Linked DNA regions of Zea mays. The protein of the gene in region 1 binds, or shares a complex with, the protein of each later gene. Links are inferred from orthologs where the notes say so. Each region holds a gene or a part of one and is shown in the gene's direction. Other genes may lie near its edges.

Evidence for each region.
Region 2: THO complex subunit 2 (region 1) and THO complex subunit 5B-like share a complex: the UniProt entries of both Arabidopsis thaliana proteins name them as parts of the THO complex. The link is inferred for Zea mays from reciprocal best matches to the Arabidopsis thaliana genes THO2 and THO5.
Region 3: THO complex subunit 2 (region 1) and THO complex subunit 3-like share a complex: the UniProt entries of both Arabidopsis thaliana proteins name them as parts of the THO complex. The link is inferred for Zea mays from reciprocal best matches to the Arabidopsis thaliana genes THO2 and TEX1.
Region 4: THO complex subunit 2 (region 1) and THO complex subunit 1-like share a complex: the UniProt entries of both Arabidopsis thaliana proteins name them as parts of the THO complex. The link is inferred for Zea mays from reciprocal best matches to the Arabidopsis thaliana genes THO2 and THO1.

The regions. Positions count from the first base shown.
Region 1 is NC_050098.1:214,439,811-214,443,382, forward strand, and holds part of THO complex subunit 2, read left to right. Parts: coding exon 1-66; intron 67-182; coding exon 183-287; intron 288-3,572. UniProt on the Arabidopsis thaliana protein: Acts as a component of the THO subcomplex of the TREX complex which is thought to couple mRNA transcription, processing and nuclear export.
Region 2 is NC_050100.1:218,465,075-218,469,156, forward strand, and holds the start of THO complex subunit 5B-like, read left to right. Parts: upstream 1-1,232; 5' UTR 1,233-1,293; coding exon 1,294-1,524; intron 1,525-1,612; coding exon 1,613-1,903; intron 1,904-2,781; coding exon 2,782-3,118; intron 3,119-4,082. UniProt on the Arabidopsis thaliana protein: Acts as a component of the THO subcomplex of the TREX complex which is thought to couple mRNA transcription, processing and nuclear export.
Region 3 is NC_050102.1:86,892,416-86,895,136, forward strand, and holds part of THO complex subunit 3-like, read left to right. Parts: intron 1-1,312; coding exon 1,313-1,370; intron 1,371-1,506; coding exon 1,507-1,606; intron 1,607-2,400; coding exon 2,401-2,487; intron 2,488-2,721. UniProt on the Arabidopsis thaliana protein: Acts as a component of the THO subcomplex of the TREX complex which is thought to couple mRNA transcription, processing and nuclear export. Contributes to the integrity of the endogenous trans-acting small interfering RNA (ta-siRNA) pathway.
Region 4 is NC_050096.1:2,960,636-2,963,743, forward strand, and holds the end of THO complex subunit 1-like, read left to right. Parts: intron 1-276; coding exon 277-343; intron 344-1,104; coding exon 1,105-1,176; intron 1,177-1,329; coding exon 1,330-1,380; intron 1,381-1,833; coding exon 1,834-1,893; intron 1,894-1,987; coding exon 1,988-2,140; intron 2,141-2,250; coding exon 2,251-2,472; 3' UTR 2,473-2,553; downstream 2,554-3,108. UniProt on the Arabidopsis thaliana protein: Acts as a component of the THO subcomplex of the TREX complex which is thought to couple mRNA transcription, processing and nuclear export. Contributes to the integrity of the endogenous trans-acting small interfering RNA (ta-siRNA) pathway.

The DNA.
Region 1 (3,572 bases):
GAATTTGAAGCTGGCAGGCTTGGAAGATTTTTTCATGATACGTTGAAGATGGCCTACTATTGGAAGGTATTTTCCCTCTCAACTGTTACCACACATTTATCATTGCTGTATTCATGGTAAAGAATGGGAGTGTCGGTTATTGTTTTAGTGCTTCTTAATTGTTTATCTCCAACATACTGCAGAGTGATGAATCTGTCTATGAGCGTGAATGTGCGAACAAACCTGGTTTTGCAGTGTACTTCAGATACCCAAACAGCCAGCGTGTGTCCTACAGTCAGTTTGTTCGGGTAGGTTTTATCTGTTCTTAAAGTTATATTTACCGTTGCATGAAATTCTTTCCCTGTACATTCTATCATTTCTCATGTAGCGGATGAAGAAAAGGTCATGATATACCTTATATGCTTCGAACACAATAATTTATAAAGTGGCTTTGGAATTGTGCATACTCAAATACTCAATCCAGTAATAATGATAGTTCGCTGAATCCGAATGTGTGAGGTATGGAGTAGAAGGGGAACTTATACGTTGGTCGTTGGAATTAGTAGGACTCCCTGAAATATTGCTGTTGGTCTACTTCACCCCCTAACCTACAAAACCATGTATTCTATCTGCTCACCTAATCTAACCCCTAGGTGGTTCCGATTGGTGGTTTTGCCTCGTTGTCACAAGCGAGGTTCACAATTCAGCACCACTACGCTCAAGTCCGTTTGTTTTACAGATCTAATCCTGTACTTTCAGCTTTTTATGAGCACTGTTTACCATAAAAAGCCACAATGGTGAAACCACCAATTGAAACCACATAGGGGCTTGGTTACATGGTTTTGGATAGACGATGGGGTAGAATACCTTGTTTTGTATGTTAGGGGGTGAAGTAGACCAACAACGGTAGTTCAAGGGGTCATATAGACATCTTCTAAGGAATTAGTATGTTTCGGTAGCCGCTATTGTTCCTATGTACAATGATCATGTGTAACTCCACTTTTCTAAGTGGAGCTTCTGTCATATAATCCATGATATTAGTTCTATGTATATTAGTACATGTCTTGGTAATTCTATGTATTAATCCCTGAAATACTAATATAATCTTTAGTATTAGTATATTATTATATGTCTTAGTATCTTGCTATTCCCTCTATGTTTGGTCATGTTGATCTAAAAGATCAGGAAATAAGTTAGAAGACTGTAACCCTAACCCTAATGTGGGTTGGGAGTATGTTAATATAGCTGGCTAACTGGGCCAAGGCCCATTACAAGAGAGTTTACACAGTTACGCTAACACTCCACCGCATTCACAACTCTATCATGTACAAATGTTGAGACTGGACCAAAAATGGTTGAAAATTGTGGAAGGAAGCCCCTTGGCGAAGATGTTGGTGAACTGCGAAGTTGTTGGGACGCAGAGAACGCGTACATCGCCGACAACGACACACTTGTGGATGAAGTGGAGGTTGATCTCCATGTGCTTCGTGCGCTGACATTGCACGAGATTGGAGAGGTAGACCGCCCTGACGTTGTCGCATTAGATGAGGGTGGCACACGTGAGGGGGGTGTGGAGCTCATGAAGAAGCTAACGGAGGCAGGAAGCTTCGATCGGTGTCGGTGTAGACTACCAGCTTAGAAGTCGGAGAGGGTTAAAGGAGGCAGAAGTCGAGGGAGACGCGAAGGTAGCGAAGAATCCGCTTGACAGCTGTGAGGTGGGGCTCCCATGGGGTGTGCATGTGAAGGCACACCTGCTAGACCGCGTAGGCGATGTCGAGTCTGTGAAGGTGAGGTACTGGAGAGCCTCGGTTAGGCTCTCCGATATCCCGTCACGTCGCTGGCCGTGAAGCCATTGTTGTCGCAGAGCTTCGTCCGAGTGTTAACAGACGTAGAGCAGGGCTTGCAGTTGGACATGCTAGCCTGCTCCAGAATCTCGATGGCGTACCGACTTTGGTGAAGGAAGAGGTGGACATCGTGAGCATGATGTCGTTGAAGTAGAGGAGGTAGACGGTGCCGTCGCCGCACCGATGGATGAACAAGTCGGAGGCGAAGCGACTGTACCAAACCCGCGGTGCCTGCTTGTGGCCATACAAAGGGCCTGTTTGGTTCAACTTTTTTCTGACCAGCTTTTCCGAGAATCTAGCTGTGGGGAGAATCTGGCTGTGTAGAGAATCTGAGTATCATTAGGATTACGTGCGGAGGAAGATAAAGTTGTCCATGGGGCCCAGGATCTATAAAGTGACCGATTACTACTATTGCGACGACTCAACCGATTATATGTTTATGTTGATTTTGAATGGTTTTTACCCAAACGAATTTTATAGAAGCTGGCTGAAAAGCTGAGTGTTTGGCAGTCCACAACAACTTTTGGTGGCCAGAAGCTGCGAAAAGCCGAAACAAACAGGGGCAAAGAACGTTTCAACTTACACCATACCTGGGCGAGCGGAGCCGATGAAGTCGGTGGGCTGGCTGCAATACATTGTCTCGGTCAGAGTGCTGTGAAGGAAGACATTCTTGATGTCCTGCTGGTGGACCGCCCAGTCTCGAGAGAGGGCAAGGGAGAGGATGGTCCGAACGGTGGCGAGCTTGACAACAAGACTAAAGGTCTCGTCGTAGTCCACTCCGGGGCGTTCAGTGAAACACCGAAGGACCCAACGATCCTTGTACCGATCCAGGGAGCCGTCAGACTTGAGTTTGTGGCGAAAGATCCACTTGACGGTGACCACATTAGTGCCAACGGGTCAGAACACTAAGTCCCAGGTGTGGTTGGCTAGTTGGGCCGCATACTCCATAGCGCGACGCCAATGGGGATCAACGAGCGTGGCGTGCACGGAGGGGCGACATACGAGGAAGCTGGAGCAACGTCGATTGTGAGCACCATCCGATCGACAAGTCTGAGAACACCGGGTGAACATGGCGTGGGTTGCGGTGGATAATGATCGGATGGTGCATATCGGATCGTCACAGAAGCGGGACGAGGCATGGGCCGACTCAACGGAGGGGATCGAGGGTTGGGATTGCAAACGACGTTGGTAGACGCGGGCGGGATTGGCGAAGCGAGTCGAAGGCGGCCAAAGAGGCGGGGCCGAGCGAGGCATAGGCGGGGGTGACGGGGCCACGCGTGGCGCAAGCGGAGGCAGCGTGACCGCACATGATGCAATCGAAGGGGAAGGGACCACACACGACATGGAAGAGGTCGGTGGGACCGATGATGGGGAAGATAAGGTACGATGACGAGATCGGAATCGAGGTGACTGTCGAGGTCGGGAGGTGGCGATTATCCAGCAAGGGGAAAGGCATCTTCATAAAAACCGACATGTCGAGAGGTGATGACGCGTTGGGTGAGGGCAGGGCACCGATACCTCTTGTGGTTAGAGGAGTACCTAAGGAAAAGAGATCGAGTGGATCGGGGGAAAGTTTGTGAGGAGCGATAACGGAGGTGTTAGGATAGCATGCACAACCAAAGACATGGGTGTGTGTGTATATGAAGGGGCAATGCCGAAGAGGGCGAAGAAAGGAATGGGATGACTGACCGCCTTGGAGGGGAGGCATTTGGGGAGATGGCTGGCAGTATTCAACCCCTCCACCCAATA
Region 2 (4,082 bases), on another chromosome or scaffold:
CGATTCACTAGTGCTTTTCAACCGGATTTCGGTTCTTTTTCATCAAAAAGATCATTTAGCCATGTAAAAGTTTAATTTTTAGTACATTTTAGTGTGGTGTATATATACATTTACACATGTCATTGTAAAATCCAAAATACACAAGTATACATAAATTAACACGCACTGCCCATATAATTTTCATATAACATATATATCCCTTGCACAGACTACTCATCAAATATATACACATACATTGAAGAAAACCAATAATCAAGGTGATGGTGGTAACAATGATAATGGTAGCCATGGGGATGATGGAGACGACGACGATGGTAGCCACGGGAATGGTAGAGGTGAATGTGATGTTGGAGCATATGGTGCTAGGGGTAGGCATGCCTCCCAAGTTATGGGACACCTCATCCACAACGATGTCATTCGTTTGCAGACCTATTGATGATGGCAATCACAGACAATTATCTCTAGTTACAACTATCCGCCTCGACGTGACCAATACCTACATACGTATGGCAAGGATTACTAGGTGAACTACAATCACCATTCATGAGTACTTGTTTTTATTCATATATGTATAGGAAATTAGTCAAGAAATGCGGATTTTGATTCTTTGAATTTGAAAACGTAAACCATTTAGGAAAATGTAAAATCCAGACAAATTTTGGTTAATTTTCTGTTTTCGGAAACGAGCGAAAATTTGGTTAAAAAACGGGATGAGTAACCGTGACTCTGTTTTTGGTTAAAAACAGGATGAATAACCGTGACTCTGTTGAGTAGATTCCAATTATTTTCAAAATGAAGCGATACAAACGGTCCTCAGACCGTGTCCAACAATTCACCCCTATGGTCACCTAAAAATACTGTTTTGCACTATTTTATACTATTTTGCACTGCAGACTATCTCGTTCATAGAGTGAAGTTTGAATATATGTATGAGGATGTGTAAGCTTATAGAGATAGCCTTAGAGGTTGAAATGAAATTTCTTTTTAAAAATTGATGTGCCACTAGGTTTCGATTTTTGAGTTTTTTATAAAAGTACAGTCAGAACCTGATTTGGTAATAGGATTACTTGAGGATAAAACTCTTGCAGAGTTCAGATTAGTTTTTTTTCTAAAATAAAGAAGTTACTTCCTACAGTAGACGTGTGGGCCGAGAGATGTTCTAACTTGTAACTTGTCTCGGAAACAGCGGCCCAGCCGCCCAAATATCCCAAAGACGGATCCGACACACTTCCGAATTCCGATCCACCCACTTCATCACCAAGGCCGTCGTCTCTCCCCACGCCGGCCGAACGGATGGCGGCGGCGCCGACTGCGGATGCCATGGACGTCGACGCGCCGGCTAGGACGCTGACTACCTCTCCGGCCACCAAGTTGCGCTCCCCTCACGACCTCCTGGCAGAGACACGCGCCTCCATCGAGAAAGTCGCAGCCCGGATACTCGCCATCAAGAAAGACGGCGCCCCCAAGTCGGAGCTCCGCGAGCTTGTCACTCAGATGTCTCTGCACCTCGTCACGCTACGCCAAGTACGTCGGCGTCGCGCTCCAAAACCTACCCCACATCCAAAACCCTACATGTAGATCTGCTGTGCTAAGTTGAGTTTGATCCGCGCAGGTGAACAGAGAGATACTGATGGAGGAGGACAAGGTCAAGGCGGAGACGGAGGCCGCGAAGGCGCCGGTGGACTCCACGACGCTGCAGCTGCATAACCTGTTGTACGAGAAGAACCACTACGTGAAGGCCATAAGAGCGTGTCTTGACTTTCAGACGAAGTATCCGGGGATAGAGCTTGTGCCCGAGGAGGAGTTCCAGCGTTCCGCGCCCGCAGACATCCTTGAGAAGACCCTCGCTGCCGACGCCTCCCACGACCTCATGCTCAAGCGCCTCAACTTTGAGCTCGTCCAGGTTGCGTATTGCTATATTTTGCAACCCTGTAGGAACTATGGAACTCTACCTGCTGCCAATTTGCTGTACTCTGTTAGTCTGTTTGGTTCCCTGTTTGAGGGACTTAAATATGAACAGCCTACATTTTGAGCTATGGTAGCTGTTGGTAAATTACATACCACTTTAAGCCTAGCATACATGATTCTTTTTGGAGAATTTATAATTTAGAACTATACTCGATAGTGGATGAAGTTACACCACCGCTTGCTTTTGATGCAAATCATCTGGTGTATTGTTTCTTGACAAGCTGATTTTTCACGCATTTTTGGATAAACTGTATTCTGCTGTGCTTGAACTCCGTTTAGTTTTCAAATTCTATGAAACTTACTAAAATATTTGCAGTCACCTGACAAACTTATTGTTGGCTATTGGCTTGATAAGCTGATCGTATCACACATATTTTGCTGAATTATATTGTGCTCTGCTTCAACTTCTTTTAAAATTTACATCTTATTCCTAGGAGGCTAGTTGAGTTTTGCACTTACTATAGTATTTGGATTATTTGTATCACTATTAAGTATTACCTAATAATAATTGTAGCATAATGAAAATTTCTATAATCTATTTTTAAGAAGACTGCACATATATTCTTCATTGTGCTCAGGTTGTTTACCATCACTTTTGCTCTCATGTCTTAAGTTGATCACCATCCAGTCACATGTATTCTTTTGCTATTGTGTTGCACCTTTTATATTTCTTTTATTTATTTCCGCACACGGTTTGAACATTTTAAGGACAGTAGTTCTATACTCTATTAGGTGATGCTAGCGTTCTCTCATTTGCGCTGTTTCCATGATTTCATTGCTGGCTTCTAAAATAGATTTTAAATTGTAAACCAGAGGAAAGAGTTATGCAAGCTACATGAGAAATTAGGACAACAGAGGGGCAGCTTGCTGGAGACAATTGCTAATCAGAAAAAGTTTCTTTCAAGCCTGCCATCACATTTGAAATCATTGAAGAAAGCATCACTGCCAGTGCAGCAACAGTTGGGGATGCAACATACCAAGAAACTAAAGCAGCACCATGCTGCTGAGTTACTTCCTACTCCGCTTTATATAGCATACACTCAGCTGCTAGGGCAGAAAGAAGCATTTGGAGAGAATATTGAAGTAGAGATCGCGGGAAGCACAAAGGATGCCCAAATATTTGCTCAACAACAAGCCAAGAAGGAAAACAGTACGTATGCATTTGCTTGATACTCCTTCCATCTACTCCATCTGTTCTGTTATACCAGGATTATTCTCGTTTTTAATTTTGGCCATAATACTGGACGGGCTGGAGTATCAAGGGCACTTAATTAGACCACTAAAAACCGAAACGTCTAATGCATGTGAATAGCCCAGCGCTGAAGCATGCCATGCATGTAGTGGCACCTTCGGTTCATTGAATGAAGGCATGGATGCAAACGTGGCTTGTATACTGCTGAGCAGGAACTGAACAATGGTTAGAGCATCCCCAATGGGCTAGCTTAGAGCTAGTTGAGACCATTTCGCTGAATAGTGCAAAAGACAAGAGGCTAGCGTGGAGTAAAGAGATAGTCTCACACGTTTCACGATGCCCCTCTTTCTCACACAATATGATATAAATTGCTATTGGCTCTCTCTTCCACGTTTGCTAGCTTAGAGCTTGTACTAGCTCATATTGTTGGAGATGCCCTTAGACTTTGTGGTTAGGGACACAGATGACTATGTGAGTTAATATGATTTGCATGTGATTGAAGGTCTTGGTATCTATAAACATCCTTATCACGCTTGGTAAAAGGGAATGGAAGGACTGGTATTCACATGCGTACTGGGTCTGGAAAAGTATCCGGCATGTACAGGCGCAATAGCTATTTGCATGCAGTTGCATGCGTTGTTTCCTGTTTACGTGCACCCACTCTTCCTGTAATCCTGTATGCAGTTATTGTAACTCCTTGTTTACCCAGTCAGCGGTGTGCAGGCGGGAATCTGGTCATTGTGGGAGCATGCGTGTTGCAATAAGCATGGCGACACATGCATGCAGTTATATTGTGTGGCATGCAAGCTGGCAACTGCTTGAAACTGAAGCGTTTTTGCGGCTGTGAGGTCCTGGTGAAAATTGTTTAAGCGCCTGTGAACACAAGATGTAGGGAATATGTCACAGCTATGTGTCCTTGCAA
Region 3 (2,721 bases), on another chromosome or scaffold:
ATTATAAATTGAAGCTTGGATATATGAATCATTTTCTAACAACTCTTTGTTTGATCCAACTGTTCTTTGGATTAGGATGCACATATACATGTCGGTAGAAATAAAATAAAATAAAATAAAAACTCGACCTGGAGGGGGTAAGACCGCCCCACGACATTATATTAAGACCCCATGACATTATATTAAGAAGACCTCATGCAGGTCGAGAAAACCCTCGAACCCCTGCTCCACCCATAAACAGCGGCACCGTAGCCCATGTGAGAACGACTGCGACCGGGGCTGGGCCTTAGACCTGTGCTTTGGCGTGGGACAAACGAGGGTTTTTTTTAACCACAGCCTGAAAATTCACTCCTACGGGGAGTTAAACCCAGGACCTGAGGAGTGCTACTCAGAGCATCTAAACAACTCGGCTAGAGACCCTTTCGCCTTGTAGAAATAAAATGAGCAGCACTGTTCTTGTGTGCTTGTCTGAGACAATTTGATGTATGGATGTTTTTTGAGTAAATGGGTACTGCTGTATGAATTTAGCAAATAATTGAACATATACTTTATTTTAAAACTTGACTTGCGGGGGATAAGACAACCCCCATACATTGTATTAAGAAGAAGACCTCACACATGTTGAGAAAACCTCCGGACACCTGCTCCAGTGCTCCACCCATACACAGTGGCACCATAGTCCATGTAAGAACGACCACGACCAGGACCAAGCCTTACACCTATATTTTGGCATGGGACAGACAAGAGGATTTTTTTAACACTGTCTGAAATTCGCTCTCATGGGGAATCGAACTCAAACCACCTAGCTAACTCAGCTAGAGGCCCTTTCGCTCGTATACTTTATTTTAATTTGTGTATTGCTGATCATGAACCTTTCGGCAGATGAGGTTTTTTTTTCACCCCAGTATAAAATTTGCTGTCATAGGGAGTCAAACTTAGGACCTGCTACTCAGCCACCTACTCAGACCTGGGGGTGGGGGGATGGACTGATTTGCCATTTTGGCCTCTCCCTCAATGCAATGATACACATTATGTGTGTTCAAGGAAAAATGTTGCTTTCACTGTTTAATGTTTGCAACTTTGTATTATTGCTTTGTTCCTGAGATGAATGAGATCGCTTGGAATAAAGCTGGAGATCTATTCTTCATTGCAACTTTGCACTTTTTTTTTTGGGGGGGGGGGGGGGGGGGGAGGGAGGACTGATTTGTCATTTTGGCCTCTCCCTCAATGCTGATACACATGTGTGTTCAAGGAAAAATATTGCTTTCACTGTTTAATGTTTGCAACTTTGCATTATTGCTTTGTTCCTCAGATGAATGAGATTGCTTGGAATAAAGCTGGAGATCTATTCTTCATTACTACTGGGTTAGGTAGGATACTAAATGCTTTCTCCAAGCTCACGTTAATAATACTGAATAAATAAACACTGTATTTACATTTTGGCAGATTTCTAGTGCTACCATATTGTATCAGTTAATGTTTCCGCATGGTCTATTGGTCATGCAGGGCACGTTGAGGTGGTTAAGGATCTTGAGTTTTTAAAGCCCTGCAAGCTGAATGCTCATACAGCAGGGTGTTATTGCATTGCAATGGATCCACTTGATAGGTATTTTCTATTGAAGGCTCTTTATTTATTCTCGCCCCTGGTACTTCTTTGGATCACTTGGATTTGTAATTTGTACTACTTCAATTGGGTTATCTGGCCTGCTATTTGATTTAAGATGTATGTAACAGTGAACTCTATAAATATTTGACACTGATGCTTGCATGATTAATTACTTTAATTCCAATTAATACTGCCACAACCTATTCACATATATTTTGGCTATTAGAATAACAAAATTCTTTTTCTTTTTAAAAGACCAGAATAACAAGAATTATTGAAATTTTATAGCCTAGCTTCATCTCTAGGTAAAGAAGAAATTGTTAACTAATAGCAACCTCTGGGTGAGTGATTAACTAGGACATGACCTACATGTAAGTGAGTTTGAGAAGAAATGATTACCTGTTCTGTTCATGCAACTACTGAATTCAGAATTTACATAGAGGAGCAATTTAGTTTGCCAGTGGATCTAGTTTATTTTCTACGCTAGATACTTTGTCCTGCGAACTGTGAGGCTCAATATACCACCACATAGATTGAGGTGGAGAAAATCGCCTGATGTGTGACTGAGTCTGGGCCTAAATGACGGACCCATATTGTATGGTTCCAATTAGCCTTGTTTGTGATGAAAGCAATTATGTTCAAGTTTTGGTCCACAACAATATGCAAGTAAGCTTCATACATTTTGTAGTCATCTTTTGGATATAGTAATCAGTTATCTGGTTTCCAGTTACTCTGATTTTGGGAGAAGCTATAATTGTTTTTCTGATGACAGTTACAAATTGTTCCAATGCTAGGTATTTCGCTGTTGGAAGTGCAGATTCACTTGTCAGTCTTTGGAATGTCAAAGAGTTGTTATGCATTAGAACCTTCACAAAACTTGAGTATGTTCTTCTACCTTAACTTTACAATGTAACATTGCTAGATGGGAATAGTCTTGAATGGTTTTATTATATTTCTAAACATGAGTTCTCAGTTGTCATTATTGTTCCTTCGTTGGAAGACTATTTATTAAATTTTAAAGGTTTGAGAGTTTTGTGTGTGTGTTGGGGGTGGGGTGAGTGTCAACATCTTTTTTTTGTACTCTAGAGAGCATGTCAATGCAATTGAACTTAATG
Region 4 (3,108 bases), on another chromosome or scaffold:
TAGTGGCTTAGATCTGGTTAGGAAAATTAACAAGAGAGAAACTATAGTAACAGGATTGTATGCATTATTAAATTATCAAACTTAAAACTTATATGTGAGAAAGACTCTCCAATCATATAGTTCATGTTATGATTCTGCTAAGGTAAAAGAAAACATGGAGATATTTTGCACAATGTATAAGTCATTAATGTAGCAATCCGAAAGCCAAGTGATGTTCTTTTTTTACCTCTTCCCTTTTATAGTCAAGGTGATATTGCATGCTTTCTTGCATTGTAGGAAGCCAAGGTGGAGACTGGGAAGCAAAGAGCTCAGCCAACTTTGGAAATGGGCAGAACAAAACCCCGTATGTTTACATACATCTTCCCACTGTAGTGCTGAATTAGAAATTAAATTGCACAAATTTATAGGTTTTGGGTCCTCAATATTTGTTTCTTATGTATCACCAAGAATTTCTGCCTTTATATATAGAAACAACTTCAAGTCTTGTTGTCAGTCCTCTTTCATTTTGTCACTTGCGAAAGGGCCTCTAGCTGAGTTGGTTGGGTGGTCTGAGTAGCACTCCTCAGGTCCTGGGTTCGATTCCCCGTGGGAGCGAATTTCAGGCTGTGGTTAAAAAAATCCCCTCGTCTGTCCCACGCCAAAGCACAGGTCTAAGGCTCAGCCCCGGTCGTGGTCGTTCTCACATGGGCTTCGATGCCGCTGTGTATGGGTGGGGCAGGGGTTCGGGGGTTTTCTTGACCTGTGTGAGAAGGTCTTCTTCTTAATACAATGCCCGGGGGCTGTCTTACCCCCCGCAGGTCAAGTTTTTTTTTCATTCTGTCACTTCCACTCTTTAGATTCTAACTTGTTTGCTAGTGTAAAAGTATCAAATTAGTTTGGCATTGGCCTGAGCAATTAAATCTATAAAGTAGTGGTTGTCCCTTGAATTAAGTTTTAAACTTTCTTTGTATATTGTTTGAAAAATGTCAATCTATATAGGACCCTGCTCCCTTGATTGTGAGCATTGGTGCTTCTTTTCTTCTGTACTCTTTTCCTTGTTATTTCGTGGTACGATATTCTGACTTCTAATTTAACTGCTCAATCTAATTTTTATTTGAGCTGTAGAATGTCTTGACTGATCCTGACCGTGTCCGCATGCCATCAATTACAGAATATTGGAAACCACTTGCAGAAGATGTAAGCAATTAGGCTTTCTTGCATCCTTTTTTAATAGAAAGTTAGATGACGTTGACCGTGATGGTTATTTTTGCACTTTGGCCACTCGTCCTTTTGCTGCAAATGAAGTTTTAAACAGTGATGCAACTTCAGTTTACCTTTCTAAACATGCAGATGGATCCATCTGCTGGAATTGAAGAGGAGTATCACCACAAAAGTAATCGGGTAAGTTTGATTTCAGCTATGCTAATTGCCCGATTGCTGTTTTTTTTTGGTTTGAAATTTTACTCGATGGGAAGTATTCCATGACATGTCTATTGAATTGATCAAGTGGACCCTGCTAGCTAATTAGGTTTGAATCGTCAGAGCTCTCGATGGAGAGCCTTACCTTGTACTGCAGTTAGAATTAAGTGCTATTGAAAAAATTCATGTCTTGTTGGGCACAGCTGGTGGAACTTATCGACACTTGTGGTTTTTATTTGTACCCTTTCGTGGGTTATACTCCCATAAAAGCAGTACTGTGCCCATATGTTTCGATGGATGTTGAAATTAGAATATTTGCCTTGAACTAATACAACATTGGCACTTGTTGTTATTTCCACAAAACTAAGTAGCATTACGTGTTTAATCTGCATATATAGCTAGTAGATTGTTGTAAGAGCAGCTTTTGTGTGACAGGTGTACTGTTGGAAAGGACTACGGTTTTCGGCCAGGCAGGACTTGGATGGATTCGCGCGGGTATGTGAAGCATGACGACGCAACAATTTCATTTCGTTCTTTGAGCGTGCAAGATTGGAATGAATATTGCTGGCGATCACCATTTTTATTGCAGTTTTCAGACTACGGGATCGAAGGGGTTGTACCTTCAGAACTGCTGCCACCTGAAGTAAATGCCAAGTTTTCTTCTAAACCCGCCGAGAAGGTTAAGCGGACGAGAAAGGAAGATTCAAAAAGCGTGTCAGCTCATCAGCCCAGAGAGCATCAGGTACATGGACCACCTTCTACTTGTAGACCATGACCTGTCGTTTTGACATCATCATCCCTTGCATTGCATTGCATTGCATTGATTGTTGCTGTGGGCTCTCCTCTGTGCAGGTTGCTGCGACACCTGAAACCGACGGCGGTGTCGACCCGGAAGAAGGCGAAGGCGCGGCGCCAATGGATTCCGACAACGGCGCGGTGGGGGATAGCCAGAAACGGAGCCCGGGGGAGGTCTCTGGCCCTGAAAGCGGGCAGTGCGAGCCTGAGGCGGACGCTGATGATAACGTGAGGACGGAAACTACCAGTAGGGATGCTCGTGCCGGAGAGATGAAATGAAACAGTGGCATGAAGAGGAACCAGATTTTGTCGACTCACTGACATTGAACCAGATTTTGAACAGCTGAGATACATTCTCTTGTTGGTGTGTACTGTGTAGTAGACATCAGTAGCCATCCATTTGAAGGAAATGCTTCCCGCTAGGTCACGTCCCTCTCTGTCTTTGGTACAGTACGTGTTTCAACGATGCTGACCGACCTGCAGCGTCGTCGGCGGAGGGACCCGTGGGTATGAGGAGCTGCCGCTCTCCCACATGCCCGCCTTGGCTCCAAGCCGCCATCGCAGGTCCGTCGTCCGTTGATCGATCCTCCTCTCCTCACAGAAATGTTCAAGTAGTCGATTACATGGGTCATTCGGCCTCACACGACACACGGCCTGACACCTTAGATTATTGAAATTCGAAATTCAAACACACGAACCTTCCCTCCTTTCCTATTCACCACCGATGCCGCCTCATGTCGTCGGGCCGGCCATGACATCTTCCCCGCCTCCATGAATTGATTGTCCCAAATCTAAAGCCTCTGGAAACCGAGTCTTCAACACATCAAAATCTTCCCAAGTAATAGCATCACTTGGTAACTCAGATCAGGCCACCTGAACTTGCACCACAGGCTTGTTACCACGCCGAACCAAACG